Linked DNA regions of Mus musculus. The protein of the gene in region 2 interacts with the protein of the main gene of each other region in a biochemical or structural test. Links are inferred from orthologs where the notes say so. Each region holds a gene or a part of one and is shown on either strand. Other genes may lie near its edges.

Region 1 (12,686 bases), on a different chromosome or scaffold from region 2:
AAGAGAGAGAGGAAGAGAGGAGAGGAGAAGACAAAGAGAAATGAGAAGAAGAGAGACAAGTGAGAGGTGAAGGAACAAAGGAGTAAGAGTAAGAGAGCAAGAGTAAGAGACAGAGGTGCGTGCGGGTTGAACAGCCCTTTTTATAGTTTTCACTGTTGCTAGGTAACTGGGGAGGAGTTTAGCCTGAAGGTCAGTCGCTTGGGCCATTGCTTACGTGACTATTGACCATGCTTCTCTTGTGGGAGCTGTGGGAAGTGGTACCATGTTCCAGGAGCATGAGGGAACTCCTACCCTGTCATGTAGGTGAATTATGACCATTGGGGTTCAGACCTCAGCTTGACTGGAGACCAGCTTGCAATTCGCCACTATCAGCTGCTTCCTCCCGCTCTAACCCGATTTGCCAAGAGCTCTGTGCTCTCATCAGACCGGTAGATAGAGTAAATTCTCAAACGTGTGGGTTGTGGTCGGCAGATTGCTCATGAATGGAAGGCTTGGTCCAGAAGCAAGCAGTGTCTGGGGGGCTGGGGGGGGGGGGCTCGAGTGGAAACAGCTGCATCATGAGGGTCCTACCTTCATCAATGACTACTCCAACTATGGAAGGAGGGTCCTAGTTGGAGAAAGGTCTGTGGGAGTGTGCCCTGGAAATGCAGACTGTGTCTGGCCTCTCCTGCCTTTCCTGTTTCCTATTCATCACAAGGTGAGGAGACCTGCTCCTCCAGGTCTTTCTATTCAATATGGCTCAGAAATAATGGAGTTGCCAACACTGGCTGAAACCCTGGAAACTGACAAACAACATTTCCTCCTTTCACGTACCTGTTATAGTAAAGAAAAGGGTCGAAGGCACGGGATCATTTTCTGGATTCTCAGTTTTGTTTCTAGGTCTACTTACCAAATGCCACTCTATCTCATAGCACGTCTTAATCACTTAGAGCAGTTACAGGATTCCTAACTTGTACAGGTGTGGTCTGGGTCTCCTTCCATGAGAATTATAGAACGGGGACCAGGAAACTCTACTCAGATCTCTTTTAAAGCCACACAAAATGTGGAGTAATTTGAAGAAAAGTGACTTTTTTTCCTTTTTTTTTTTTTGTATTTTTTTTGTTTTTTTTTTTTTAAATGACAGTCTTTTCTTGTATGGAGAGAGTATCTCTCCACTCAACCAGGTCCTCTATATTCTTCAACGCTTTCAGGATTTCCCCATAAATGTTGCACACATCTTTTCAAGGACTTATTTCTATTAAATTTGATCCTATTTCCACAATGAAAATATTTCAAATGAGTGTACAAATTGTGCTAAAATCATAAAACTTTCTATGTAACACTGGATAAATGACACATGTAATGGGTAAAAAAGTATTGGAATGCCCAACAGAAAAATGAAATGCAGAATAGAATACAGATTAATCTTGTTTTGTTGAATCCATCTAAATATCCAGACATAACAACAACACTTGGCAAAACTGAAAATGAGTCATTTTTTATTATCTTCCTTATATAAGAAAAACACACAAAAAAAATCATGATTTAATTATATGTGCATTACAGTATACTAAGTTTTAAGTACCAAAAAAAAAATTATCAATTTTCTTCATCGTATCACAGAAATTTAAGTGCCTCTGTAAAATCTTGTCCTAGGTTTGGAGAGATGGCTCAGTGGTTAAGAGCACTACTGGCGCTTTGACATGGCAACTAACAAGCACGTGTAACGCTGGTTACAGGGCATTCTGGTTTCCATGGCAATGTATGTACATGGTACACAGACATGTAGACATGCAGGCAAAACATCCATATACATAAAATAATAAAAAAAATCTTGAGGGAACCAATAGAAGATAATTATTTACTCATACTATGTGTGTGTATATACATATACATGTATATATATATACTTGTATACACACATGTATAAATGTATGTATATATAAATATATAATGTCGTCAAACATTTTTATATTTTTAACATAGTATAAAAACTTGTTGGAGCTGGAGAGATGGCTCAGCAGTTAAGAGGACTGACTGCTCTTCTGGAGGTCCTGAGTTTAATTTCCAGCAACCACATGGTGGCTCACAACCATATGCAGTGGGATCTGATGCCCTCTGCTGGTGTGTCTGAAGACAGCATCAGTGTACTCATAAAATCAATCAATCAATCAATCAATCAATCATTCAGTCAGTCAAAAAGAAGTTGTCAAAGAATATACATAAAGTAGTATCTTACTTTCTAACACTCAAAGGAACAAAAAAGTTCAGTGTTAAAGGTGAATTTATATGAGTACTTTGAGACTATTTTATTTACTCTTAATAAAACTTTCTTCAGCTTGCTGGGAATAAAGGGCTAAGTACAGCTATAGCAGCTCTGCTTCGGAAGTATACGTGAGCTGTGCAGCAGAATGGAAGATAACCCAGGAGTGGATAACCCAGGAGTGGATAACCCAGGAGTGGATAACCCAGGAGTGGTTGGAAATGAAAACTCAGGTAGCTACTCACCAAAGTGAAGTCCCAGTGTGGGCCAGGGGTTAAAAATGTGAAGGAGCTGCCTCTCCGAAGGGAGCATCTACGGACAGAAGCGTCAGACAGAGAGAGTAATTTCAAAAGTTTATACTTGCCAGATAAAGAGCTATCATTTTTACAGTCTTAATCTCAAACCTAGTTAAAATAGTGATCCAGTGTCAGCAGCTGCAGAGAGCAGTCTTTCCTGATAGCATCAAAATATGACAGGGTACATGCCATCCTCAGAATCTTTACACTGAAAGGAGACTATATAATCTATATAATTAGTGGAGAGATTACTATTCAAAATAACTTTCTAAAATAAACACAGTTCATCTCATGAGTAAATATACAACTCAAAAATATAAAATCTACTACTATGACAGCAGCCTTGATAATTATATTACTAATAATGAAAAACCAAATGAACTCATAACTCTATACTTGGTACAATTCAAAACTTATGGCTAATATTTTAATATAAGTAAAAAAAAAATAAAACCCAAATCCTCTTATTTACATTAATGTACATTTCTCCTGATTTGTAAAAACTGGAGTTAAAAGCAAGAGGAACCTGCTTTTACCTTTCTAAAATACAGGCCTGTATATTCACAAAAATGTTAAGTGTGTACATTGACAAAATATATATATATATAAATCAAAACATGACATAGGTGATAACCATGAGCTATACTGTTAATCACTTAAGATGTATAGAATGCAGAACAAAGATATTTTTCCAACATGGATAAATGACAGCCAAAGGAAAGCAGAAACAGTCCCGAGCTTGCAGGAGCAAGGGATCTAGTTATCATCACGTGCCTTTTGGCAGAGGTTCAAATGATAAAGGGAGGATAAGCTTTATAACAGGACAAAGTGGGGAGGTGCAAGCATAACCCGGTTGGAGCTGTCCTGGGGAAGCTATTGGTGGGCTAACCTAAAGAGAACATGACGTGATAACTGTTGTGACTAGAGATAAAGTGTGCATCTGGCCTTTTCTGGTTGATTCTGAGATGTCAGGGTGGGGTTGGAGAGACTCCTGTAGAGGACTTGGGTTCCCAGCACCACGTGGTGGCTCTCAAAAACCTTAACTCTAACTCCAGGGATTCAATGCCCTGTTTTTGGTCTTCATGGGTACTAGTCACACACATAGTGCATATACATACATGAAAGCAAAATAAAATTTTATTAAAAATAAATCTTAATAAACAATTTAAGAAGCAGGCCAAAACTTTAAAGTAGACAGTTGCTAATAAAATTCTAGCTTTTTTACATCAACTTTTATACAAATTATTATTTAGCTTTTTAGCCAGGTCATGGTCCATTTATAAATCTGACTCTTACCTTGACCATACATTATCTTTACCATACATTATACTACAGATGTATGTATGTGTGTATATATCACAATATGAATGTATATATCACAATGCTACAGATGGCAAAAATTACAAGCTTTTCTAAGTTAAAGAGAAAGCAGAAGTGTGTATATTTCAGCAAAGACAATAAAGGAAAGATGGCTACCAGAAAGGCTTCACCAAAGAACAGTAAAACTGACTGTCAGGATAGCCTGTAAAAAGCACCTGCCACCCTGTTTGATCTCTAGGGTCCACATGGTGAAAGAAACACACACATGCCTATACCAGCTTCCCGATCCCCCAAAACCAGCCAAACAAATAAAAATGAAATAGGAATGTTTCTTCCACAGAATATACTTTGATCATACTTTTCCCTTTCCCAGTTCCTTCTGGATCTTTCCCACCTCCTCACCCACCCAACTCATGATCTACCCCCACATCAAAACAAACAGGAAAAACAACAAAACACAGAAAATCCAAAGAAATGAAAAAAAAAAAAGACATTAAGACAAAAAAATACTAAAACAAACTTAATGTGCAGGATTCATATTTCAAAATAACCAACCAATCAGACAAAAACATGGTGTCTGTTTTGTGTGGGCCAACTACCCAAGGTGTGGTGGTCTGAATAAGAATAGCCCCTATATGAAGTGGAAATGCTGGTTTCTTCGAAGACTCATCGTGTCATGTGATATTTTTTCTGGAAACTGTCTTATGAGAGGATGTTTTTGCTGAAGCAGACAGGAGAAGATGTTTTGCTGAGAACAGACACATGGTGTTTTTCTGGAAGCTGCCTGGAAAAAGAACATGTGATGTCTTGCTGGAGCAAATGCTTGAGAGGACACGTGATGCTTGGAAAGTGTATATTTATAATGCAACAGACAGTGGATGACACTCCACCATGGTTTTGTTTTGCTTTCTTCACTGGTTACTGCTTGTCATGACTTTGTAGAGAGAAATTCACCAAAGAACTTCTCATGATATTTCCATGGCTTCTTGCAGCTTCCTTGGACTTGGGCTGACTGGCGACTGGCAAAGCCTCATGGTTTCCTCTGGATCAAACAGCCCTTGTTAATTCGTGAACGGTGTTTGCCAGTGGATCCAGCTACCACTGCTGATTCATGAGAACTGAGCTACAGATATCCTGACATTGAAGATTGGAATCACCCCTTCTAAACAGGTCTACATCTGCCTTTGCCCTATTAACCTTTTCATTACTTCTGGTGGGTGGTAGGTTAGAATGGAGGTTGAAGCATTTAAGAACCCTTATTAAAGTAAGTTTTGAAAATAAGACAACACCTATAGGCTTATATATTTGAATGCAAACTCTTGAAAAGGATTAGAAGGATTAAGAGGTGTGGCCTTGTTGAAGGAGTATGTCACTGGGGATGAATTTTGGGGTTTCAAAAGCCCATGCCAGGCCCTGTCAGACTGTCTTCTGCCTGCAGATGGGGATAAAGCGCTCTGGCTACTTCTCTAGCACCATGTCTGCTTACATGCGTCCCATGATGATGATAATAATGGACTACCCTCTGAAACTGTAAGCCAGGCTCAGTTAAACCTTTTCTTTAAGTTTTGCCTCGATTATGGTGTCTCTTCACAAAAATGGATCAGTGACCAAGACACCTGGGCATGGGCCTTGCTCTGGAGTGTGGTTGATATACCAATACTCCACTGGAACAAAACAAAACAACAATTTTCCTTTTCCCAGGAGGTATCAATTGCAAACAGCTTCTTGGTTCTGAGTGGGATGGTGTGTCAACTCTCCCATTCTCAGTGCTAGGATCTTGTCTGGTTTGAACCTGTTGCAGGTCTTGTGCATTCCTTCAATCTCTGTAAGTTTAGATGTGCATCAGTGCTCTTATGTCTGGAGGATACTGTTTCCTTGGAGTCATCTACCAACTCTGGGCCCTAGAATCTTTCCTCTTCTGCACAGAATCAAAAAGGCTTAAATTCACTGCATGATGTGACCAACGCCTCCCAAGAGAATCTAAGGTTCCTGAGAGCAAGCGCTCCATCTGCTTTTGTTCACCTGAATCCCCATCATCCTCAACAGTGTCTGATGCTAGGGCAGGTGCAACTGTATTACACTGAGCACACGTGGAATGAAGCACTGCTTCTGTTCATCTTCAGGAAGTCCTCCTTTTCTGCTCCTTCACTAGCCCATCCTAATTCTTGTAATTCTCAGTCTCAAAGATGCCTTCTTTCTGCACTCTGACTTCTTAAACACACGGTCTGATTGGAAGAGAGGAAGTTTCAGAAGGCAAGAATTCTGGTAAATATTGCCTTAAACTTCAAACTCATAAAAATCAGTACTAACTGAAAGAATCTAGCTCTTTATAGAGTTACTTAATACAATGGGTTTGCCCATGCCTTGATAATGAAAGTAAGGTGTTTGCTTTTTCCTCAAAACCATTTGTCATGATTAGATTATAAGCTATATAAAAGATTAATTTAACATCCTATCAAATGACCTGGGCGTCGAGGTTCACACTGCAATCCGAGAACAGGGGGAGGCTAAGGAAGAAAGACCAGTTTTTAGGCAGAACGGTTTGGAGCCTGCTTGGTGACAATTCCTCTTCTCACCAATAGTCCTATGGATGTAAGACCACCTACAGTCCACCAGTTTCCATGGAGAACAGCTCTGGTACAGAAGTACAATATGAGTTTGTGGCCAGCGTCTCTACACAGGTAGTGAGTTCTGGGGTAACCAAGTTACACAGTGAGAACTTGTCTCAGAAACAAAACCAAAAAAACCCTGAAATCATGTCAAGTGGACCATGGGGATGTCTGAAAAGATGGAGCAGACACAGCACTGTTACTTTAACAGATTTAAAACTGACAGACAAGATTTCTGCCGAGTTTTCTGCCGAGGCCCATGATAAGTACTGATGTTCACACAGTGCCTTATATGAGGCAGACACTATCATAAACTCACTATGTAGACGTAGATTTGAACAAAGTTACATACTTTGTAACTCAATGTCTAACGTTATAATGGGAAACCATTGCATTCAGTACTTTGAGACCATTTCTCATATTTCGAAGGGCAAAAGAATGACAGAGTAGTCCAGACAAATGCCATTTCAATTTCCTATTTAATAAAAATATTATGACTCCCACAGCCTCTCTTCCAGACACAGATTTCTGAAATCAACCTAGTGTTTGCCTTTCCCAGACACATAGAAATGAAGATACAACACAGAATGTGAAAATGTGCTAATAACTGAAAAGCCAGAAAGAGTCTTTCTCTGATCTCTTCATTCCAGGAGCCTGTCCTGTTCTGGTCTGCAAAGGACATTTCATTTGAACAGCCGCTTTTAGGCTGAAAGGGTTGGTATCTGTTCAGGTGACAATTCCTCTTCTCATCACAGGGTCCACGACAGTCTTGATCTGAGCGCCTGCATCCACAACTAGTTTCTGGTAGAGAACAGCTCTGGTGCAGATGTACGGTTCCCCAGGGACGGGGTTAAAGGAGATTGTCAACAAGTCCAACGAGTCCACCCCTTCTACGCAGGGCCGAGCAGTCGCTGTGCAGCCCTCGGTGCAGCCCGCCGGGCAGCGCACTCTCCTCCCGCGGCATTTCTGCCCGGCCTTCCCCAACCTCCCCTACTGCACTGCCAGTCCTTGGTCACCCACCGTCCAGTCCATCCCGTCCTGAGTCTCCAGACTCGGTCCCCGGCTCTCACCCACCTCCCGCCACCCTCACCTCTCGTTCGCCGCCGGCCCGGGTGTGTCGGCCGGAAGCCCCGCGGCAGGTTCCTCGCTGAGCATTGAGACCCTGCGGCTTCTCCTCCGAGGTCGGGGCTGCTTCTGAGCCGCCGGCTCTGGCTCCATGTCCGGAGAAGGGGGGTTGGTGGGGCGGTGGCCCAGTGCCCAGGAGACCGATCGTGGCGGGCACAATGCCCGCCAGCTTCTGCGAGGCAGCAAGTCGCCTTCTAGCAGAGAGCGGCTACCGCCGTCATCCGGGGATTTGAAAATGGCGGCTGCCCAGAGATCGGCCAATCAGAGAGTGGGAAGCGGTTGCTAGGCTACGTGGAGTCCCGCCCTAATCAGAAGACTTCATACCAAACTTTTAGGAGCTCCAGTGACAAAGGGAAAGTGGTAAGGTGAAAGTTAGGAATTTGGGGATTTATTTTAACTACACACCTTACTCCTGAAAGGCAGTCTCTATTCACTAGAACTTTCACTTGCAGGGCAGGAAAATGGATCGGAAGCTGTTTATCATTTGTTGTTGTTTAGCGTTAGACAGGATGAAGGTATTGACCCCAAAGCAAGAGGCAGTTGGACGTATAAACACTAAGTTATACATGTGGAATATATTCCCAATTGCCAAAGACAATACTTTGTTCTCCAGGATGTCTCTAGAGAACCAGTGAAATCTAGTTATGTACTCCTGTCTTTCAGTAAGTAGGACACAGTCGCTTTACCGAATGGAAAGGGCTGCTTTCTCTGCTTGCAAGACTGCAAAACGTGCAGCATGAAACAAGGGACCCTGCTCAGGTTATTATGTGAAGATTGGTAAATAAAAACGTTCTCTGATTTTAAATATCGCTAATGGTCTTAAATGTAGTCTCTCTTGTATACAGGGAGATATTAATGATGTTGTGTATAATAGAAAAATTAAAGGCAATCTAAATGAATGACTGGGAGATGTCTAAATATAACTGATTAACTGTGAAGACTGCATTCAGCCGATAAAGAAATGGTCTTCTTCAGGGAATACCATTGGTTAGCCAATACTAACAGCTAGCCCTGAAAACATACAAATAACATCATACAGACTGAGCTGGCTGTATTTGTGTATTTAGGAACATATATGTATAACATATTGTTACATATTGACTATGTAACAATAATTAATAAAAAGAGTCCATGAATGTGAAAGATAGCAAGAAGGGGTATAGGAGAGAGTTGGGAAGGAGAAAAGAGAAGGGAGAAAATGGTGTGATTATATTATAATCTTGAAAATAAAAGAAAATTAAAAATAAGAGGTATATAGTAAAACAAAACATTGTGATTTTAACTGAAAGCATAAAATATGAAATATAGAACAATGATGGCTAGTTTTATGTCAATTTAGAAAAATTCTGTTTTAGGGTTTTACTGCTGTGAACAGACACCATGAAAGAGACAGCCCTTATAAGGACAATATTTAATTGGGGCTGGAATACAGATTCAGTCCATTATCATCAAGGCAGGAACATGGCAGCATCCAGGCAGGCATGGTACAGGAAGAGCTGAGAGTTCTATATCTTCATCTGAAGGCTGCTAGCAGAATACTGGCTTCCAGGCAGATAGAACAAGGGTATTCAAGCTCACACCCACAGTGACACACTTACTCCAACAAGGCCATGCCTCCAAACAGTGCCACTCCCTGGGCCAAGCATATTCAAACCATGACAAACCCTCTCTAATATTAGGCGGTAGGTAAGTCTATAGAACATTTTCTTAATTAGTAGTTGATGGGAAATAGGCCAGCCCATCATGGCTATACCATTCTTGGGCTGGTAGTCCTGGGTTCTGTAAGAAAGTAGGGAGAGGAAGACATGACGAACAAGCTAGTAAGCACTCTTCCACGGCCTCTGCGTCAGCTCTTGCCTCCAGGTTCCTGCACTGCTTGGGTTCCTGTCCTGACTTCCCTTGATGATGAACTGTGATATAGAAGTGTAAGCTGAATAAACCCTCCTCAAGTTTTTTTCCCCCTCTGTCACAGTGTTTTATCACAGTAATAGAAACCCTATGACAAATCATGAAGTGATTTGTGAGGGGAGTGTGAGTAAAATAAGCCCTCCCCCCTCCAAGTTGCTTTTGATAATGGTGTTTCATCATAGAATAGTAATCCTACCCACAAAAGAACTATAATTAATTATAAATCACTCTTTGTAATTATACAGAATAGAAAGTTGAGATTAATTAAATTTTTCTAGGTGGTAAGACTTTTGGCACTTAAAAATGCTTTTTATTTTTATTTTCTTGATTTAAGAATTCTTAAACAGAGTGAGATACTGGAGAAAATATTGCGTTTAGCAAATACAATGTAAATACAGAAATGTCATCCAAAACAATTGATCTCTATGCCGAGTTTGGTAGAATGAAGATATTTTAGTGGAACCACACACTTTTACACACAGAAGCAAGTTAGTTTGTCTCTATTCCTGAAGATACTGAAGCTGGTTTTGGTGTTATCACCAGAAGTTATTAGGGAACATTTACTATCAATGTGATAGATAATAAAAGATGCTGATATGGGGACTTCATGGAAGTTGTGCACTGCATGGAAATTGTGCAGGAAAATTCTTTCAATATTCATTCACTTGGGAAGTTGTTACTTTTTTTTTAGCTACTCATACATATCTATTGAATATCTACAATAAAATACTAGACTTTCAGCTAGGTTGTACCATAAGAAAAGGAATTGAAGGCCCATGGTATATTGAAGCACGTGGAAGGAAGCTGGACTTTTTACTTGTTGATGTTCTGTTGTAATAAAACACTCTGACCAAAGCAACTTACCAAAGGATGAGTTTATTTGGGCTTATGGTCTGTTGTTGTTGGGAGATGTGGCAGCAAGCTTCAGGAACAGTGTTAGGAGAAAAAAAATGATCATATCTTTGACTACAACTACAAGGTAGAGAGGGAACTGGAAATGGAGTGTGCTATGAACTCCAAAAGCCAGACCCTAGTGACATACTTTCTTCACCCAAGGGTCCACCCATAAACATTCCTAAATGGCACCACCAACTGGGGACCAGGTGTTTGAAGACTAGAGCCTATGAAGGACATTTGTCACTCAAATCACCATAACTACATATTGAGAGTTGGTCACAAAACCTTGGAAAAGGCCAGTGAAACCCTACAAATGTATAATAGATTGATCTTCTATTGTCTAAATGACCTGTCCCTCTGCTTCCTGGATTCAGTATTTTTCACTGTCTAGGACAGAACTAAATACATGACCTGCGAATCATTGAATCTTCAACTCTGGACAAATGGTTCCTCTGTTATAACATAGTTTTTTCAGGTTAGGGTGGAGAAAATTGGTAGGCCTGTAGGTATTTTCTTAATTAGTGATTGATGGGGGAGGGACCAGTCCATCATAGGTGGTGCCATCCCTGGGCTGGTGGCCTTGGGTTCTATAAGAAAGAAGACTAAGCAAGCCATGAGGAGCAGGCCAATAAGCAGCACTCTTGTGTGACTTCTGCTTCAGCTCTTGCCTCCAGGTTCATATACCGCTTGAGTTCCTGTCCTGACTTCCTTTGATGATGAACCGTGTTGTGGGAGCATAAAATAAACCCTTTCTTCTCCAACTTGATTTTTGGTCATGGTGTCATTGCAGTGTGTGTGTGTGTGCTTGACTATCTTAGTAAAAGACATTGAAGACTTAAAAGTCTGAGTTATGTTCCTAATGGGTGGAAAGGATGGAAGGAGATGGGAAGGATTTGGGTGAAATAAGGGCAGAACGACAATGGCCAGTGATTTCTAGAGCCCATCAATGGAGGATCATCAAACAGTACTTCAAAAATGTTCAGGATATTAGTCAGAATTATTTTTCAGAGCTGAGTGATTTAAACAAACAAACAAACAAACAAACAACCCCAAATCACTAGTTTGTTGCTGAGAGGTTTTTTTTTTCTTAGATAAATAAGGTTTCACAAGCTCGTAATCTCAAGACTTGGGAGGTAGAGGCAGGAAGATGGGGAGCTCAGGTTAAATTGGTCCACATGTTAAGACTTTGTCTTAAAGAGCCAAAACCAGAGCTGGAGAGGTAGCTCAGCAGTTAAGAGAACTTGTTGACCTTGTAGAAGATACAAGTTTGGACTTCAGTATCCACATTGAGTAGCCTACAACTGCCTTTAACTCCAGTTTAATCCAATGCCTTCTTCTTACCTACACTTGTGCCCACGCATATTGGGCCCATGGCCATACACACCCACACACACAAAATAAACATAAATCTCAAAAACAATGAACTCAAACAAAAACAAAACCCAAAGCCAACAGAAATTCAAGGCGGCTCTTTTGGTTGGTTGTATGTGAAGAACTGGCCACTGAAATTACATTTACTAAAAAAAAATACTAAAATAAAAAAACCTTAAGAAACAAATGGTAATGAAAGGGAATCCTAAGAGCAAGCACCATGCTTTTATCAGCTTCATTTTCTTCATTCTTTGAAGACTTAAGCATAGCTACCAAGTGTGTCTAAACCAGTGCTGTATGCATATAGGATTTATTTCAAGGATTTGCTGTATGTGGTTGTAGAAGCTGTGGGATCTGCCATCAGCAGGTGCTCTGTGGGCTGGAACCCTTGACTAGGAGCTGTTGAAGACACAGATGCTGTTATCTACATCAGAATTTTCTTTTTTCTTTGGAAAGTCTCAATGTTGGTCTTGCAGCTTTTCAACTAATTGCACAAGGAAAACATACATTATGGAGAGTTGCTGTAGTTTATGTGAGAGATGCTTCCATAAAGTTTTAGGAATTTGAACTTGCTTACCAAAGAAAATAAGTATAACAAATTAAAATTAAAGTACTATATTAGCAAAGTAATAGCACAAATCTAGAAAATTCGCCCATGTCTGGGAGTGCTGTTGGACAAAGTGCATGTGTGGGAGGTGCTGGTAGAAAGAGTGCATCTGACCAAGCAATGGCAATGCATGGCTGTAGAGGTAGATTTGGGCTACACCACTTTGTGTTCTCCGAGGGTTATGCACTTCCAGCCACCCTCCCAGAAACTCTTTGGATTTATGAATTGAACACACACACACACACACACACACACACACAGCCTGAATTCTCACACGGGTGGTTGGCTTTCTCTCCTGCAGCTTCTGCATC
Region 2 (12,592 bases):
TCTTCTTTGAAGGTCTGATAGAACTCTGCACTAAACCCGTCTGGTCCTGGGCTTTTTTTGGCTGGGAGACTATTAATAACTGCTTCTATTTCTTTAGGGGATATGGGACTGTTTAGAAGGTCAACTTGATCCTGATTCAACTTTGGTACCTGGTATCTGTCCAGAAATTTGTCCATTTCGTCCAGGTTTTCCAGTTTTGTTGAGTATAGCCTTCTGTAGAAGGATCTGATTGTGTTTTGGATTTCTTCAGGATCTGTTGTTATGTCTCCCTTTTCATTTCTGATTTTGTTAATTAGGATTTTGTCCCTGTGCCCTTTAGTGAGTCTAGCTAAGGGTTTATCTATCTTGTTGATTTTCTCAAAGAACCAACTCCTCGTTTGGTTAATTCTTTGAATAGTTCTTCTTGTTTCCACTTGGTTGATTTCACCCCTGAGTTTGATTATTTCCTGCCGTCTACTCCTCTTGGGTGAATTTGCTTCCTTTTTTTCTAGAGCTTTTAGATGTGTTGTCAAGCTGCTAGTATGTGCTCTCTCCCGTTTTTTCTTGAAGGCACTCATAGCTATGAGTTTCCCTCTTAGAAATGCTTTCATTGTGTCCCAAAGGTTTGGGTACGTTGTGGCTTCATTTTCATTAAACTCTAAAAAGTCTTTAATTTCTTTCTTTATTCCTTCCTTGACCAAGGTATCATTGAGAAGAGTGTTGTTCAGTTTCCATGTGAATGTTGGCTTTCTGTTATTTATTTTGTTATTGAAGATCAGCCTTAGTGCATGGTGATCTGATAGGATACATGGGACAATTTCAATATTTTTGAATCTGTTGAGGCCTGATTTGTGACCTATTATGTGGTCAATTTTGGAGAAGGTACCATGAGGTGCTGAGAAGAAGGTATATCCTTTTGTTTTAGGATAAAATGTTCTGTAGATATCTGTCAGATCCATTTGTTTCATCACTTCTGTTAGTTTCAGTGTGTCCCTGTTTAGTTTCTGTTTCCATGATCTGTCCATTGGTGAAAGTGGTGTGTTGAAGTCTCCCACTATTATTGTGTGAGGCGCAATGTGTGCTTTGAGCTTTACTAAAGTTTCTTTAGTGAATGTGGCTGCTCTTGTATTTGGAGCATAGATATTCAGAATTGAGAGTTCCTCTTGGAGGATTTTACCTTTGATGAGAATGAAGTGTCCCTCCTTGTCTTTTTTGATGACTTTGGGTTGGAAGTCAATCTTATCAGATATTAGGATGGCTACTCCTGCTTGTTTCTTCATACCATTTGCTTGGAAAATTGTTTTCCAGCCTTTCATTCTGAGGTAGTGTCTATCTTTTTCTCTGAGATGAGTTTCCTGTAAGCAGCAAAATGTTGGGTCTTGTTTGTGTAGCCAGTTTGTTAGTCTATGTCTTTTTATTGGCGAGTTGAGACCATTGATGTTAAGAGATATTAAGGAAAAGTAATTGTTGCTTCCTGTTATTTTAGTTGTTAAAGGTGGCATTCTGTTCTTGTGGCTGTCTTCTTTTAGGTTTGTTGAGGGATTACCTTCTTGTTTTTTCTAGGGCGTTGTTCCCGTTCTTGTATTGGTTTTTTTCTGTTATTATCCTTTGAAGGGCTGGATTCGTGGAGAGATAATGCGTGAATTTGGTTTTGTCATGGAATACTTTGGTTTCTCCCTCTATGATAATTGAGAGTTTGGCTGGGTATAGTAGCCTGGGCTGCAGTTTGTGTTCTCTTAGTGTCTGTATAACATCTGTCCAGGCTCTTCTGGCTTTCATAGTCTCTGGTGAAAAATCTGGTGTAATTCTGATAGGCTTGCCTTTATATGTTACTTGACCTTTTTCCCTTACTGCTTTTAGTATTCTATCTTTATTTAGTGCATTTGATGTTCTGATTATTATGTGTCGGGAGGAATTTCTTTTCTGGTCCAGTCTATTTGGAGTTCTGTAGGCTTCTTGTATGTTCATATGCATCTCATTCTTTAGATTTGGGAAGTTTTCTTCAATAATTTTGTTGAAGATGTTTGCTGGACCTTTGAGTTGAAAATCTTCATTCTCATCCACTCCTATTATCCGTACGTTTGGTCTTCTTATTGTGTCCTGGATTTCCTGGATATTTTGAGTTAGGATCTTTTTGCATTTTCCATTTTCTTTGATTGTTGTGCCGATGTTCTCTATGGAATCTTCTGCACCTGAGATTCTCTCTTCCATCTCTTGTATTCTGTTGCTGATGCTCAAATCTATGGTTCCAGATTTCTTTCCTAGGGTTTCTATCTCTAGTGTTGCCTCGCTTTGAGTTTTCTTTATTGTGTCTACTTCCCTTTTTAGGTCTAGTATGGTTTTGTTCATTTCCATCACCTGTTTGTATGTTTTTTCCTCTTTTTCTGTAAGGACTTCTACCTGTTTGATTGTGTTTTCCTGTTTTTCTTTAAGGACTTGTAACTCTTTAGCAGTGTTCTCCTGTATTTCTTTAAGTGATTTATTAAAGTCCTTCTTGATGTCCTCTACCATCATCATGAGATATGCTTTTAAATCTAGGTCTAGGTTCTCAGGTGTGTTGGGGTTCCCTGGACTGGGCGAAGTGGGTGTGCTGGGTTCTGGTGATGGTGAGTGGTCTTGGTTCCTGTTAGTAAGATTCCTCCGTTTACCTTTCGCCATCTGGTAATCTCTGGAGTTAGTAGTTATAGTTGACTCTGTTTAGAGATTGTTCTTCTGGTGATTCTGTTACCGTCTATCAGCAGACCTGGGAGACAGATTCTCTCCTCTGAGTTTCAGTGCTCAGAGCACTCTCTGCTGGCAAGCTCTCTTACAGGGAAGGTGCGCAGATATCTTGTATTTGGACCTCCTCCTGGCCGAAGAAGAAGGCCCAAAACAGGACCTTTCTCAGACACTGTGTTGCTTTGGCAGTTCCCAGGTGGTACAGACTCTCACCTAAGCAGACTAAATTCCTAAGTTCCTTGGAGTCCCGGGACCAAGATGGCGACCGCTGCTGCTGTGGCTTAGGCCGCCTCCCCAGCCGGGTGGGCACCTGTCCTCCGGTCCGGAAGGTGGCCGGCTGTCCCCGGCCCACACAGGGTGCTGCCTCAGCTCCTCTGTGCTTCTGCCTGTTCCAGAAGCTGTCAGGTTCTCTGGCGCACCCTCTCACCTGTTCAGACTAATTTCCTAAGTTCGGCGGGTCCCGGACCAAGATGGCGACCGCTGCTGCTGTGGCTTAGGTCGCCTCCCCAGCCGGGCGGGCACCTGTCCTCCGGTCCGGAAGGTGGCCGGCTGTCCCCGGCCCACACAGGGTGCTGCCTCAGCCCCTCTGTGCTTCTGCCTGTTCCAGAGGCTGTCAGGTTCTCTGGCGCACCCTCTCACCTGTTCAGACTAATTTCCTAAGTTCGTGCATATTTCTTTAAACAGTTCACACCATGGATTGTCTGTCAGTGCTCTCCATACCATCGGGAAGATGTTTAGTAACTTTCGATATAAGTAATCAAATGAGAGACGTGCAGAAATCACGTCTTTCTCTAGAACTGCTTGTAGTACCAAAATCTGCAGTAGACAGGTCTCTGTAAATGAATAGAACCAATAGAATGTATACATATTATATGTGGGCTTATTGGATTGGCTTACATGATAGGGAAACTAGCAGTCCAACAATGGCTGTCTGTACACTGGCAAGGCATGGAATGTGGTAGCTGCTCAGTCCAAAAAAAAAAAAAAAAAGACATTTCAGCAGACCCAATCCAGTGTCAAAAGCCTGGAGAGTCACTGAAAAGTCACTGGTGTTAAGTTCACTTGGATAAAGTCTGGTGGCGGCCAATAATGGCAACAGCAGTGATACGTGCAGTCAAAAGGAAGAGAAGAGGGAATAAAGGGATGGCTCAGTAGCTAAGAGCACTCGTTGTTCTTGCAGAAGACCCAAATTTGGTTCTGAGGGACAACTATCTGTAACTTCAATATCTGAGGATCTGACACGCCCTACTGGCCTCTGCCAGAACTGCACGCAAATGGCTCAAATACATACATGCAGGTAAAACACTAGTACACAGAAAATGAAACAAGTCTACAAATAATTTTTGTAAAGGAAGTGAAAGCAGGCATAGGCTTGCTGCATTTTACTCAGACCTCTCTGTATCTGGGTGACCCATTGGAAGATGCCACTCCCACTGAAGGTCTGTTCATCCGCACTTGAAATGCCCTCACAGATATGCCCAATGCGTATCTTCTAGGTGATTCTAATTCTACTGAAGTTGACAACCATGGCTAGTTACCATAACTATATGGTTTTCTGTTCTTTGTTGCACTTACGTTTGTCTACATCCTCTCAGGGACTGGGTCTGTTTGTTGTATATCGTATTGTTCTATTACTATATTCTAGAACAGTGTTTGGCATGAACATCTGTTGAATTAAGCCCAAGTCTCTATTCACAACACCCATGTGATGGCTTTACACCGGGTAAGTGCTCAATTAATGTCTGTTAAATGAAACGGAGACCTAAAATCTGCAGAACTTAGAGCACAGTGCTTATCTGAGTAGTTTAGAGCATGGGTTCCAGTCAAATGGCAAGAACTTTCATCTCTCAGTTATGCTACCTAGTTGTGTTAGCACCGCTGAGCTTACAGTTCTTATTGGTAGAATGGAGGTACCTTTAGTACTGCCTTGATAGAGACTTTTGTTTGCACCTCAGACTTTGTAACGATTCAGTCATTGTCTGCTAAAGATAAAACAAGGACAGAAACAAAAAGCTAGCCTGGGTGGCACCTGTAATATCACCAATCAAGTAGTTGAGGCAGGATGATCACTCTGTCTCAAAAAAAAAAAAAGATTCTTTCTGTCTTATGATTACCCTTTCCCCACCTTCCAACAGCGTGAGCGAGGAGAAGTCAAGGAGACCTCCTTCAATCGGGATTCCTGGGTGCTGTGCCAGAACCAAAGAATTGGCTTCTTTCACTTTAGATCTTTTCTTACCACTTCCTTGTACCCGAACTCCCTTTCCTCGTAACATTTCAAGCCTCTTTTCCCTAACATAACCATGGAGTGGAGGCAGAAGTGTCGGAGGCAGGCATAAATAGTTTTCTCTCGTTGCCGGTTCTGAGGTTAGTCTCTCACTGGTGATGTAAGAAAGGTCGACTGTGAGAGATACTCATTACAGGGCCTAGGAAATGAAAGAACAATGGTCCTGATGAGGATGCGCTGACAGACCTGGATGCTGCCCTTTTCCTTGGTCCCCTGCAGGAGGCAGCACTTCGCGCACCCTGTCCAGATGCCCCTTTGATCGGTTCTATTGCTGCCTTTACTTCTGATGGCCCTAGCTTAGAGCAAGCTTAGGGACCCATTGAGCATCTCACTGCAACTCCCTCTTGCCAGTGGGGCGGGGTGGAGCGGGCAGAAGACAGCCTGAAATTGGCAACACGAGAACACAGGATCGCAGGATCATACTCTTCAGCTCTCTAGTGGCCCAAATCTCAGCCACCTAGACTAGGGTTGCCAGTAACTCCACAGAATAGGGGAGATGTGTCTGAGTCCGGGGGGTGGGGGGGCGCCTCTGCTTCTGCTCCTTTAAGAAGCCGCTGTTTAGCATTCCTGCTGCTGCCGCTGCCGCTGCCTGACTCTGCGCTCTGATTGGCTGGAATCAATTGAGAAGGGAGCCAGGGAGAGATGCTCTTGACTCCACTCAGATCCATCCTGGGGACCTGAGCAGAAGAGGTTCTCGCCGCACCTAGCCTTTGCCTGGGCGCCCGATTCTTCTTTGCCGCTGGGCCTCGGCCCAGAAGCCACAACGGGCGACACGGAGCCGCCAGTGCTGGAGGGGGAGCCATGGGTGCGGGGCAGCGTGGGGGCAGAGGCCCCAGGACGCCCGCCCGGCCCCAGGCCCCGCTCAGCCAGGGCACCCCCACGGGTGCCCCCTCCTTCTTGGTCTGAGCAGTGCGAGTGTGCTAGGGAGCCCGGCGGCGGCGGCGGCGGCGTGGAAACTGGCGTGGGCTGGGGGGTCCGAGCCGCGGGGGGCAGTGCCATGCACAAGCACCAGCACTGCTGTAAGTGCCCCGAGTGCTATGAGGTGACCCGCCTGGCCGCCCTGCGGCGTCTTGAGCCTCCTGGCTACGGGGACTGGCAGGTGCCGGACCCCTATGGGCCAAGTGGGGGCAATGGGGCTAGCTCCGGTTATGGAGGCTACAGCTCGCAGACCCTGCCTTCACAGGCAGGGGCTACCCCCACCCCTCGCACCAAGGCCAAGCTCATCCCCACAGGCCGAGATGTGGGGCCAGTGCCCCCTAAGCCAGTCCCCGGCAAGAGCACCCCAAAACTCAACGGCAGTGGCCCCGGCTGGTGGCCCGAGTGCACCTGTACCAACCGGGACTGGTATGAGCAGGTAAGGACCGGCAGATGAGGAGGAGGGGAGGCTGGTGGGACAACCCAAAGGACTAGGGATTGGGGTCTAGGAAGTCTGGGGAGCAGTAGAGGTTGCTGGGGCTCCAAGTCTATGGATCTGAGCCTTTAGCAGCTGACCAAAGAGAGACTGTTGAAAATACATCTTCTATGTGTGTCTGTTTAGGGGGTCTCCGTTTGGAGGGGATTGGGAGGAGCTGTTTGTATCAGGGGGTGATGGTATGGCGGAGGGGCACATTTTTCTAGTGTGGGGGATTTGGGTTTGTCTCAGTGCAGGGCGGGGGGGTGGCAGTGTCTCTGTGTCTGGCAGGGGGCGGGAGGTTCTGCGGGGGTTGTATGTGGTGTGTGTCTCCATAGGAGGGGAGGAGGGGGCATGGTGCTCTGCGTGGGGGGGACATATGTGTTTGTATGTATGTTGGGGTGTGTGGAAGAAAGCAATGGAGCTTGTGTGAATGTATGTATCAGAACCCATGTGCCCAGATGGCTGAGCGTCATCTCTCCATACCATGAGTCCCTCTCCATCCCAGTCCCTTTGTGTGTGAACGTGCACATGGATATGTGAGGATGTGTCTCTGAATGTGAAGGTGTCTCTGTCGATGAGGCTGCAGGGATAGCTGTGTTCGCCCGAGGGTGTCTCCATGTATATGTGTGTAAGCATGTGGCTTCAAGAGTGTACACGTGTGTGTGTGTGTGTGTGTGTGTGTGTGTGTGTGTTGTCCCTGATGAGAAGCGCTTAACAGGCAAAAGGGGGGGGGGCAAGACACATCCCAAGCAAGGCTGAGATGCTGCTGAGAAGGACAGACTCTTTTGTCCAAGCTGCTCTGAAGTGTGTGCTGCGGGGGGTTGGGGGGCAGGGGGTGTTAAACAAGCCTTCTTGCTCCAAAGCAGGCATATTGCCTGGAACCAGGCAAAGGGTAGCTGCCCTAATGCAGGGTCTTCTCTGAGTGGGACATGGCCCTTATGGGTACCCACAGATGTGAGAGAGCTTAGCTCCCCAGCTCTGATTTGGCACAGCTTGGGAGCCCCTGGGTGCTGGGCACAACTCCGGCTTCCACTCCCAGCCTGAACTGCCAGCTTAGAAAATGGAAGGAGCGTCTGTGGGAGAAACAGCAAAATGGAGGCTGGGCCAGCAGAGCCAGGTCTCTGGCACGCATGGCGGAGGGCCTGTCTAGTTCTTCAGTTCTGCAACCCCCAGGGTGGAAAGAGAGGAGGAGAGGCTTTGCTCTCTATGGAAGGTGCTGACTGTCCCAAGCTGGTGACCATCTGGTCACCCCTGTCCTCTTCGGAGAATAGGATGTGCTTTTACCTAGAAGCAAAAGAGGGGGCTTCTTGGAGATCAGAATTATCCATTCTGTATGTCTGTCTGTCTACACCTCTTCCTATGTCCCTAGCCTTGGTTCCTTGCCCTCTCCAGTGAGTCCCCTCTTTTTTGCCCCTCCCTTATAAGCACACGCTCATGCTTGGCCTGCCTAGTGAGAAATAGGTGCCAATTCCAGGGCCGGGCCTGTTGGGTGATCTTTGGATGGCTCCTGACCCTAGAGGCAAGGTCCCTGAGTGGAAGTGGGACCAGAGCTAGAGGGTGGACTACTGGGAGCTGAAACCTCCAGGTGCCACCCAAACTAGGTGGGCATGGCTTATCACATGTGGAACACACATGGTACACTAGGTACACGAGAGAGTGTACCTGCATGGGCTCTCTTTTGCTCTGTAACGGTTGTATGGCACTTCAGTTGGCTGTGTTAGTTGCGGGGGGGGGGGTCTCTGATGAAGCAGTGATTTTTCTTCCTGGGACCAGGGTGAGGCTGCAGCTGGAGCCCTCCCCACTGACTCCTTAAGACCACAGAACATGAAGGGGGAGAGAGAGGGGAGGCTAGTCAGCACTCTTGAAGCCAGTGCTGCAGAGGATGAAGGTGGGAAGGGGGAGGCAGAGCAGACTATGTTAGAAGAACACTCACCCTGTGTGCTCTCTTCTGGGGCCACAACTTCAGAAGGGTGTAACACAGCCAGAGAAATGTGGATCAGTGCTGGGACACTTGGTGAGGGAGACAAGGGGCTTCCTTTAGTCTTGAAAATGATTGTGGGAATGAGGAAGCAGGTGTACTTGTCTGTGCAGAATCAGATTTCCACTTGAACAAAGGCCACAAGTATGTCCTGTCTGGAAGGCAATGTCTATTTGTTGCTGAAAACAACCTGTGTTTTTTTTTTTTTTTGAACCCCTTACTAGCCTGTCTTGCCATGGCTACTGTGTGCTTAAGATCACAAATTCTGATCCTACTGTCTATGGGTCATCAGGTTCCCCGTCATGGGAAATTTTGTCTACCCCAGTCCTGTCCTAACCCTGATTTGTCCTCAGACTCCTGGCCAGTTCCCACCCTGACCCTTTCTTCTGGAGCACAGAAAGGGTTCAAATCAAAAGTTGCTTTGGAAAAAAATTTGGATTAGGATTTTCACTCCTGTCCATTTGAGAACTTGTATTTCTGGGACCTTTGAAGGACGTGTAAAAATAGGACTTCCGGGAAATAACTCTGATGGAAATAACATGGAGAAGGGATGATCAGCCAAATTACCACTGGCCTTGAAACCTCCTATAGTCCAAAGAGTACCTGGAGATACAAGTTCTATATCCTAACTCCCAGTGTGCTTTTGGCACACCCCACAACCACTCTGGGCCTTAGTGTCCTCAATTGTCATGTGAAAGTGGTATATGTTGTCTTTCTATATCTGACATTGTGGGACTCTATGATCCCAAAGTCAGGGGGAACTGTTGTTCAGAAATGGAGAGGTTCCCTCACCAGGCTTCCTATGGATGTTGGGTGTGGTACAGTTTGCCCACCATGCTCCATCTCTGCCATCCCCCTTAGGCCAGCCCTGCACCCCTCCTAGTGAACCCCGAGGCCCTGGAGCCCAGCCTATCGGTGAGTGCACCACTGGTTGGCTCAGTCTCAGACAGTTGATCTGGGCTAAACAAGCAACTGGTTTTGGACTGATATGGTTGGATACAAGGGGAGGGATGTGCTCGCTCAGGGTCAGCCTGTCCCCATCTGTGATCTAGAGATGCCTTGTCGTGTGCTTGGGATCTTTGTGGGAGTGGGGAAGGAGTAAACTGATGAGAGGGCAGATGAGTAGGTGGGCAGAAGACACTGAAGGAAGTGCTACTGTCTTCTTTTAGGTGAATGGCAGTGATGGCATGTTCAAGTATGAGGAGATAGTACTGGAACGGGTAAGTTTTCCAGGAGGGAGATTGGGAAACAGGGGGCAAAGTTTACATCCAGGAGAGGGGAGGGCCTAGAGCAGCATTTCAAGACTCACGGGGGAGCCTATACTGAGGGTATGAGGAAACAGGGCCTTCAGAAGCCACATCACTGCAGCTACCAATCAACTCACAAATATTGATCTTGTTGACTGAGGCCTGGAAACTTGGGGTGGGGGTTGGTTTGCTGAGGCCTCTCCACCAAAATGGTGAACATAGACTGAGAAACTGCTAGGTTTCTGATGAATGTGCCCCACCCTTCCCTTGGAATCTGGAGAACCGACTCTGGGATATGGAAGGAGATGGAACCCTCCTGTGTGCTCTCAGAATGAAATGACTGTGCCCTTCCACCCCCTTTCAGGGCAACTCTGGCCTTGGCTTCAGTATCGCAGGTGGCATCGACAACCCTCATGTCCCTGATGACCCTGGCATCTTTATTACCAAGATCATTCCTGGTGGAGCAGCTGCCATGGATGGGAGGCTGGGGTGAGATGGCCTGGAAGCAGGGCTGTGGGTGGAAGGGACAGGATGGAGATGAGGGACAAGGATGACCCTTCCATTATATTGGAGAAGAAGAGGGAAAGGAGGAAGGGAGAGCCGAGGAGAGGGAAGATACAGGCGACAATAGAGGGGCGGCACACACTGTCATGCCTCTTGGGCTTTCCCTACAGGGTGAATGACTGTGTGCTACGGGTGAATGAGGTGGACGTGTCCGAGGTGGTGCACAGCCGGGCCGTGGAGGCACTGAAGGAGGCAGGCCCTGTGGTGCGGTTGGTGGTGCGGAGGCGACAGCCCCCACCTGAGACTATCATGGAGGTCAACCTGCTCAAAGGGCCAAAAGGTGGGGCCCTCCTGGTTCCCGTGCTCTAGCAACCCACCCCCAGCCCCTGGGTTCATGGCCGCCCCATAGGTGAATGGAAGGGAGGGGTTTTTCTCCTGGCATGATTACTCCAGTCCCAGATCCTAGCCTTCTTTCTTGACCTCCGATTTCAATCCTTACTGACCTTGGGATGATAGGATGGTGAAGCTTTTGGAGAGGGCAGAGGGAGGGGATTGGCTTCAAAATGGATGAACCGTGCTAACTTCTCCCTGTGGCTCTCTCCCACTTCCTGCTGGCTGCCATTTAGGCCTAGGTTTCAGCATTGCTGGGGGCATTGGCAACCAGCACATCCCAGGAGACAACAGCATCTATATCACCAAGATCATTGAAGGAGGAGCTGCTCAGAAGGATGGACGCCTACAGATTGGGGACCGGCTGCTTGCGGTGAGATAGCCTTCAAGGGGATGCCCAAACAGTAGGGTAGGGAGGATCAGCTCTGGTAAACCGTCTCACTCCATCAAAACCTCACCTCAGGATAAGGCATTTTGGCAATTTCAAGATCACCTGAGTTGGTCTTACTCAGCTAACAAGGCCCTAGTTTTTTCCCATGGTGGGGCCAACCATGCTTATATATTATCCCTTTAACCCTACCCGACTGGTACCTGTTAGTATGCTGAAAGACCACTCCTTTGAGTGCCCCGGAGAAGTTTTCCCTTCTAAGACCCACCCTAGGGTGTCTCCTCTTCTAGGTGAACAATACCAATCTGCAGGATGTGAGGCATGAGGAAGCTGTGGCCTCACTCAAGAACACATCAGACATGGTCTATCTGAAGGTGGCCAAGCCAGGCAGCATCCACCTCAACGATATGTATGCTCCCCCTGACTATGCCAGCAGTACGTACTCATTGCTCTTTGGCCCTGGTTTCAGTGGAGACGGTGTCTGGCCCCTTTGTTCAGAAAGAACTAGTACTGATGGTATTGTCATAACTGAGTTCAGGTGCCAGCCTTGTGCTTTGGAGTTGGGTGCCCTTGGACAAGACCTTTTCACAACTTTAGTTTTTCTCTTTAGTCCAAATAAGCTAATGGTGTGTGTGTGTGTGTGTGTGTGTGTGTGTGTGTGTGTGTGTGTGTGTATCGCCTTCCTCATAGGACTGGTGCAAGGATTGAGTGAGATCATGGATGAGAAAGCCTTTGGAAAACTATTAGGCTTCAGAGATGTAAGGGATTATTATTATTATTAATCACACCTCTAGTCATGCCTTTCTTTGTAGACTGCTTTGACTTCAGCTCTTTCTAAGACTCACAGGAGTAAGCCTAGGGTTTAGAAAGGGACAGAGGAGGAGGAACCCTGGGGTGAGGGTGGGTAGTGGGTAGAGCAGGGAGCAGTGGCCTAGGGAATCGGCATTCCTTGGTCCTTTTTGTACCTGAGGTAGGATGTAAGGAAAAATCCTTTGAGGGGGTTGGGAAAAAATTCTATAGTGGAACATCTCTGGACACCTCTCTCTCTCTCTCTCTCTCTCTCTCTCTCTCTCTCTCTCTCTCTCTCTCCACCTCAGCTTTCACTGCCTTGGCTGACAATCACATAAGCCATAATTCCAGCCTGGGTTATCTTGGGGCAGTGGAGAGCAAGGTCACCTACCCTGCTCCACCTCAGGTGCCCCCTACTCGTTACTCTCCTATTCCCAGACACATGCTGGCTGAGGAAGACTTTACCAGGTAAGACACTCTCCTGTTCTTTCAACCTAGAGGGGGTGAGAATAAATTTTCTGGCTGTTGACAGGCCTTCTTGTAGTATGGCAAAAGGGCAAGGCCCTCATCATCCCCAGCAGTAAGATCTGGGGCCCTTCTCTGTGAGGCCTTCGGACTTCAGAAACAGAGGTGGCTGCAAGGACGATTACCGCCGTCAGGGGGAGTGCCAAGCAAGTGGCCCAGATCCGAAAATGCAGATCCGGGGTGGGGTGAAGCGTCTAGGGGGCTGAGGAAGTGGGGGCAGCGGGGGTCTTCCTGCCCTGCGACAGTATCAATCCTCTCTTCGGCAGCCATCCATAGTCGCTGAAGAAGGCCTTTTAGCTGACGGGGTTGGCGGGAGTCAGAGAGGCCTCCAAGCCAGCCCGGGACCGCAGGAGGAAGGGTTCCGCCCCATGGTGGTGGCGGCGGGCCGGGGCCGTTG

The links.
Region 1: the proteins of Dlg3 (region 2) and Net1 interact in a test that uses a peptide from one of them, tested with the Homo sapiens proteins (2 studies listed by IntAct, with this or other methods). The link is inferred for Mus musculus from reciprocal best matches to the Homo sapiens genes DLG3 and NET1.

Annotation. Positions count from the first base shown.
Region 1 is NC_000079.6:3,910,381-3,923,066, forward strand, and holds the start of Net1 (neuroepithelial cell-transforming gene 1 protein), read right to left. Parts: upstream 7,841-12,686; 5' UTR 7,686-7,840; coding exon 7,558-7,685; intron 2,555-7,557; coding exon 2,488-2,554; intron 1-2,487. UniProt on the Homo sapiens protein: Acts as a guanine nucleotide exchange factor (GEF) for RhoA GTPase. May be involved in activation of the SAPK/JNK pathway Stimulates genotoxic stress-induced RHOB activity in breast cancer cells leading to their cell death.
Region 2 is NC_000086.7:100,762,094-100,774,685, forward strand, and holds the start of Dlg3 (disks large homolog 3), read left to right. Parts: upstream 1-5,628; 5' UTR 5,629-5,978; coding exon 5,979-6,335; intron 6,336-9,213; coding exon 9,214-9,267; intron 9,268-9,521; coding exon 9,522-9,572; intron 9,573-9,963; coding exon 9,964-10,088; intron 10,089-10,273; coding exon 10,274-10,443; intron 10,444-10,729; coding exon 10,730-10,866; intron 10,867-11,171; coding exon 11,172-11,316; intron 11,317-11,978; coding exon 11,979-12,138; intron 12,139-12,401; exon of another isoform or gene 12,402-12,592. UniProt on the Homo sapiens protein: Required for learning most likely through its role in synaptic plasticity following NMDA receptor signaling.